Mus musculus: one gene and its partner. The protein of the gene in region 1 purifies or fractionates together with the protein of each later gene. This does not show direct contact. Links are inferred from orthologs where the notes say so. Each region holds a gene or a part of one and is shown on either strand. Other genes may lie near its edges.

Evidence for each region. The genes of interacting proteins can lie anywhere in the genome.
Region 2: the proteins of Pla2g4a (region 1) and S100a10 purify together in Homo sapiens (affinity purification with western blotting; 3 studies listed by BioGRID). This does not show direct contact. The link is inferred for Mus musculus from reciprocal best matches to the Homo sapiens genes PLA2G4A and S100A10.

The regions. Positions count from the first base shown.
Region 1 is NC_000067.6:149,839,291-149,842,790, reverse strand, and holds part of Pla2g4a (cytosolic phospholipase A2), read left to right. Parts: intron 1-431; coding exon 432-627; intron 628-2,015; coding exon 2,016-2,173; intron 2,174-3,500. UniProt on the Homo sapiens protein: Has primarily calcium-dependent phospholipase and lysophospholipase activities, with a major role in membrane lipid remodeling and biosynthesis of lipid mediators of the inflammatory response.
Region 2 is NC_000069.6:93,558,117-93,561,616, forward strand, and holds part of S100a10 (protein S100-A10), read left to right. Parts: intron 1-2,827; 5' UTR 2,828-2,847; coding exon 2,848-2,979; intron 2,980-3,500. UniProt on the Homo sapiens protein: Because S100A10 induces the dimerization of ANXA2/p36, it may function as a regulator of protein phosphorylation in that the ANXA2 monomer is the preferred target (in vitro) of tyrosine-specific kinase.

The DNA.
Region 1 (3,500 bases):
AAATTATATCTTATATCTTGGGTATCCTAGGTTTGGGGCTAATATCCACTTATCAGTGAATACATATTGTGTGAGTTTCTTTGTGAATGTGTTACCTCACTCAGGATGATGCCCTCCAGGTCCATCCATTTGGCTAGGAATTTCATAAATTCATTCTTTTTAATAGTTCTTATTCAAATCAGTTCATTAATGCATTTGTCAGATGTCTGCTGTTTAGCCAGTCCATATTGAGAACTGATGTAATGGTACTGAGGTTGTTTAAAGAGTCATTTTTACAGATATTGGCAATTTGCACAGTCCTTGAACACAGTGATTTTTTTTTCTTTTTTATCTTAGCAACTGCTGGCAGAAAATGGATGTAGAATAATGGACAGACCAGATGAATGAATGAAGACTGGACATTTCTCAACGCATCTTTCTCTTCCCTGCAGGAACTTCTGCTTGCAGAGAAGTGGGCGAAAATGAACAAGCTTCCCTTTCCAAAGATCGATCCTTATGTGTTTGATCGGGAAGGATTAAAGGAATGCTATGTTTTTAAACCTAAGAATCCTGATGTGGAGAAGGATTGCCCAACCATTATCCACTTTGTTCTGGCCAACATCAACTTCAGAAAGTACAAGGCCCCAGGTATGTTTCTGTAAAATTGAAGTCTGGCTGGTAGGATGTTTGCTATTACACTGAGATTGTCACATGAACTGTGACTGTGGGGAATGCGCCTCTTACCATGACAAACAGCAGTGACTTGGGAGCCCAAAGCCCTTCCTTCTTTTTTTACCCCAAGATTCATGTTCCTTATAATAGAGAAACTGAAAGAAGAATGACAATCTTAGCTAAAGATGATTAGGGCATTGAACCAGCATCTTGGGTTTGGTAGGTGTCCAATTCATAAAGGATGTTTTAAATAGTTTGACTTTCAACTTTGTGAAATCATGAAAATCAAAATCATGGAAAATTCTTTGGGAGTATTAATTGATCACAAAACTCTCTAAAAAAAAAAACCAAACAAACAAAAACAAAACCCACAGCATAACTGATCATTTTGGGATGTCACATTATATTTTACAGCAAAGGAGATCTAATTCAAGAAATGGTTACTCTGTTTTCTCATATCTGAAGGAGTAGGTAGACTCTAATGCATCCTAAAAGATTCTCATTAAAAAAAAAAAAGCATTCTCCCATCCAAGTACTAACCAGGCCTAACCTGGCTTAGCTTCTGAAATCAGATGAGATCCGGTGCATTCAGGGTGGTATGGCGTTCTTAAGGCTTTAATTGCTAAATATTTCTCAAACCAGAAGATGCAGTTTTCCATTTTGTGATTAGAAATTACCACCCACCCACCACACACAAACTCTGGGTGGTAATGGGATATAGGGAAGTTTTTCCCTAGATTTCTCAGAAGGATAAAGAAGAAGTGAGAGTGGAGTTGTGAGGCAAGTCTCATCCTGGAGAAAGAAGGCTGGCTAGCATCTTTCGTTTTCAAACTGAAACCGTAGTTTCAAATTGAAACCCTGATTTTAAACTGAAAGCAACCTAGATAATATTCTATTACTGGTAGTTCTTGGGGAGAAACCAAGAGGTTGGTAAGTATAGGGACTTCTGATGGTTGAGTAGGGTTCAATGTTTTGGTTTGGATTTCCCCGGAGGAAGATTCTCAGGACAAGCTTCAAGTGCAGAGGGTTTATTTGTAAGGGAGTGAGGAAGTGATACTGGGCAGGGAGACAGACAACATAGCACATGTTTGTATGCCAGCTACTCAGAGAGGAACGTGACCCATCTGGGGAAGGCTATAAGGCAGGAACCCAGGATATGGGGTCATCCTTCCCACCCACGCTAGCAGGCACGGAAGCTGGGTATCTTCCCAACTTGAGTGTGGCTGACTAGGGAATGGAGTAATTTTTTAGAATCACAGGCTTTCTGGTGATTCTCTGTGCTGTCCTTATGCTTGTTTTGTATGTTTTGGAGAATTTTTTTTTAAGTTTTCAAAAGCAAGATGCATATTCTTTTTGGCATATAGGTGTTCTAAGGGAAACCAAAGAAGAGAAAGAAATTGCTGACTTTGACATTTTTGATGACCCCGAATCGCCATTTTCAACCTTCAACTTTCAGTATCCCAATCAAGCATTCAAAAGGCTTCACGATTTGATGTACTTCAACACACTGAACAACATTGATGTGAGTATCTACCACAGCAGATAACATGGAAACTCCTTAGCCTACACATGAATTCATTAAGAAGACAGATATGGCTCTGAGGTGACCATATGCAAAACATGGTGCCTTATTTTCCTGAATGATGTCACTAACATCTAGTAGACACTAAAAAGTCATGAATAAGGACATCACTGTCTGTGGCTAATCAGAACCACACTTTATGCATTGTTTGGTGAAGGAAGTGTTCCTTCTCAGCTTCCCTGATATATATGTATTGTATCCATTTAATGGTAAAAACAATTTATAAAAGGAGGGAAGTAGAGGAAGAGCAGTATATGGGCAGGAGAGAGTGTAACCATGAATGTCATTATTGCAGACATCTCAGCAATGGCATAATGTTTTCAAATGTTTGGTTCTTGTAGATCTTGACAGTATCACCAAATACTCCAGTCCCCTGCATTTCAGCCTTTGAGATAGCCTGTGTGCTTTGTGAAATCGACTTCTGAAGCAAGGCTTTCCCTGCAGTATCAAACATTCTTATCACTAGCATATCTGCTCCTGAAAGTCTTTGTCTGTGAGATTGCTTAGTGTTAAATGCACCCTTTTATAGTGCTGTTGTGTGATTGAGATCATCAACTTGTGGGCCACAATCAAAGCATCTAACGAGTTATTATCACCTGTAAAAGCTGAGCTCATTGGATTAGGAAAGAAAACAAGAAAGGAAAGATAATTAGAGTTGTGTATTATGTATGATTTGGTGATCTATTTGGAAATTATGAATGATTGTGGATTATGAATTATGGAGGTCAATTATGAAGACTTTGAAGGAACACATGGCTGTGTTGTTTCTGTGGAACCTAACTAGATTTGTGCTAAAGGAAAACTGACATCCATCAGTGTTCATGCTTTTTAGATCATTTTCCTTGAGACAGTTAAAGACAGGTCAAATGCAATCATGACACAGTGGCCATAATACTTCAAAATTCAATACAATTTAGTCATCATACAAGAATATTTCTAATAAACTCCAGTTCCTATAAATTCTAAAATTCCTCCTTTTTTGCCCATATTTTCTAGTAGGCAATGACTAATATGCAATGTACTTACCAAAAGTTGTAACACATTATTTGCTTAACAGATGCTTAATAACTCTTACATGGGATGCTTAGTAAAGCTTACATGGGAGTAAATATTTAAAAACCTCATTCTACCTTATTTCTGTAGTGATGCTTATAATTTATAGAAAATAGAGACATGAATTTTGTGACATGAGAAACACAGAGAAAGTTTGAAAATAATGTTGTGTTTTATGTTATTTAGATTTCATTTCATGTAAGTGTGTAGGAGG
Region 2 (3,500 bases), on another chromosome or scaffold:
CACCCCCCCCCCCCCTTCCCAGAACTCATCCTTTAGCTGCTGTGCTCTGAGCTGTCAACTGCCTAAAGACAATTTCATCTGTATCTCCTCTACTTTGAGTCATTCATTTAACAAATGTCATCTAGTGGTCTCAACTAAAGCAGAATAATATGTGGTTCTTAACTAAGACAGTTCTGGAGGCGAGGCAGACAGGTGAACAGGTGTATCCGACTAAATATATCAGGTAGGTTTCCCCAACTCTCAGACCAGTGCCCTCATGATAACGTGTTACCCAATCAGAAGGGGAAGGCCCACCCCATCTGGAGTGAAGTTTGGGGGGGTGTTAGGTGGAGTAGAGATGCCAGATTCAAGTTCCTGAAAAGCTTTCATTCTAGTAACTGATTATAGAGCGTAGTGACCCCTATAATGCACGCAATGGGGGATTGGTTAGGACCACTCTGCCAGAGAAGGACAATATGATGCATTTGTTTATCCAGGAGAACAGCATTTTCACATTTCTGTTACACGTGTTTGTTTGTTGTTTTGATTCTTGACGAAGGGTCTATACAACCCAGCCTGGCTGATAACTCCATTTCTCCTGTCTCAGCCCCATCTCACTCCTGAGTCCTCAGTTCGTAGTTCTTGGGATTGCCCTTACCACACCTGGATTTTTTGCATTACTGTAAACCTTTCTCCAGAGTAACTCCTTTCTTATAGCCCTGGTCAGTGCCTTCTGGGATCAAGGTCATATGCTGTGAATTTCAACTCTGTTTTCACTTTCTGGCCAGATTCTATCTCTGTGTTATTATTGCAAGTATCTTGAACTAGCAGGGAGTCAGTGGGCTGCTCTGTGTGTGGAATAAAACAGGGGAGTTGGGGATGGAGGACCTGGGGCAGAGGTGAAGCTTCAGGGAGGAACATTGTCACTTCATAGCCTTCTGGGTAAGGCAGGAAGAAGTGGACTAACCTCAGACCTTAGCTCTCAGCAAGGTAGCCTGACTTCACCCTCCTGAAGAGGACATTCAAGTGAGGCCAGGATTTCCTCTGCTTACAGCTTGCATTTCCTAGGAGTCCTAAATTGGCCTGTTTAGGGGGAAACCCTCTTTAGCTCTGCAGTATACTCTCCAGTATACTCTCCTGATGCCTGGGAGGAAATACACTGGATATCCACCTGGTTCTAACAGTTGGGATGTCTGGAATCTGGAGTCTTTGCTCTGAGAGGAGGTCAGAAAGCTCTGTGGCTCTGATGTGGGCACAGACTTTAAACTTCATTGGCATCTGGCTCCTTTCCTGAATGATTGAAGGACTGAGGTGGCATCCCATGTCCTTCATTAGGTGACTGAAATTCAGTTCTCTTAAACTCTGTGCTTTAAAATAAATCCAGGCAAGGTAGACTCTCTGTGAGCCAGCCAATGCCATTAGAAACCCATATCCAGGATTGGGGAGGTGGGGCAGATCCAAGGAGTATAAGATAGGAAAAGGGGAGGGGCTCCCCTGGATTTCATGCCATTGTGCACCTTGAAGTATAAACTTGCTGCTGTCCACATCATGCAGATGAATCAGGCCAGATCCTCACTGACGGTGTTCTCAGGTGTGGGATTCCTTAGCGGGTTCTTATAATTTTTCTGAGGCAAAGAGGTAGAATTACAGCCCTTAAATATAACTCTTCAATTTTTTAGTGTTCAGCGCCACATCTTTGACTCTGTAAAAGATAGTATTTAGAAGCCAGGCCTAATGGCTCAGACTCAGCTACTCAACAGGCAGAGGCAGGAGGATCTCAAGTTAAGGCCAGTCTAGGCAAGTTAGTGAGACCTGTGAAAGAGGGTCAGGGTGTATATATAGTTCAGCGATAGCCTGTCTTAGACCCTAGGTAGGGTTCAGTGCGTGTGTGTTGGGGTGGGTTACAGAATTTAGGGATCTGAACAGGCATTGTCAGCAGCAGGATTCAGACCAAAGTATGCCCTAGGTTCCTGTTGTTGGTCTTCAGCAGGAGAAGTTGCCAGCTTCTCCTATTTGCACTCAAAACTCTATACGGACACTGAGCTCCTCTTGGCACTGGGTCTGGCCGAAACATTTGCCCCAGTTCATTGTACCAAACACAGTGACCTAACATTTCCTTTCCTCTCTTTAAACTCTTCATGCTGAAAGGCCCTTGGTCTCTCATTGCACCCCAGCTTGTGAGGAAAACGCTTCTGCGTAGTCATACCAAAAGTGTATCTGGCTCCTGAAGGAGTTTGTACATATATGGGTACTCGTTCCTTCTCTGCTGAACTTGATAATGAACATTATGGAGTGTGTACTCAGACAGAGTGGCTGCGTTTTACTGCTAGAGCATGAGCTCAGTGTTTGTAGAGTGCACACAGCCCACAGACAAACCCATCTATAAGCAAGTTTCTAATCTCTAGAGTCAGACTGGTCCAGGTCCCTGCTTCAAGCCTGGGTGGCTGAGGCTTCTATAGTGACCAAGTTGGACTTGTGGCTTGTTGGTGTTCAGCCATTTCAAAGAATTACATGTTCTGTGCCAAGAGAAATAAGGAAACATCTCTTTAACTCGGTACTTTGTAGTTAAAAAGAGCATCTCTAGTCCTACTTTCCCAGAAAATTAGATCTTCTTTTTCTTGATTAGGAGCATATAGAGTGGCTGACAGGAGTAAATCCCACATTCTGAGATCCAATACCTGAAGTGTCTGTTGCTACCAACAAAAGCCCCCAAACTGAGCCTTAGATTGATTAAATTTTATGGGAAAGGTGATTAGACCTTCTGCTTTCTCCTTTCCCATTACTGTCTAAAGATTTTCATACCTGTGGTTTAAAAGTTAGTTCAAACTCTCTTTATGTCCTTTAACAGGTTTCGACAGACTCTTCAAAATGCCATCCCAAATGGAGCACGCCATGGAAACCATGATGCTTACGTTTCACAGGTTTGCAGGCGACAAAGACCACTTGACAAAGGAGGACCTGAGAGTGCTCATGGAACGGGAGTTCCCTGGGTTTTTGGAAGTAAGTGCTGAAAGTCTCAGAACCAGATATAAAAATCAGAGTGCCCTTCCCTTTCTTCTATCCCTTCCCTGTAGGGTCACTACTTGGGCGTGTTTCACATCCATTTACTTGGTAGATAGTACCTACTGTGTGTTAATATATCACAGGGGCAGCAAAGTGGAAAAGATTCCACCCCTGGCTTCAAAGAACTCTCAATCTGCAGGTGAAAATACCACACCCATTGGCACATCATGAGGGGAAAGGCTTTTCATGAGTGTGTGATAAGCCAGGGATGCTGCACCTTAGGTCTATAATCTTCATGGCGGAAGTTCCACATTCTGGTCATATGCCACTGGGAAAAACTTGAATCTTCCCTGTGTGTGGCTGTGAGGTGCAGGTTGAGTCTAGGGCCCCATTCAGGCAAAGCATGTGCTCTCTTGGAGAGCGCCCCTCTACTCAAATCTTCTTAAATCCCTTTGAACAAAAAGAATTTTCTTCTTTTTCCAGCTCTAACCCATAAAGGGATCATGTTAGTTGCTGGA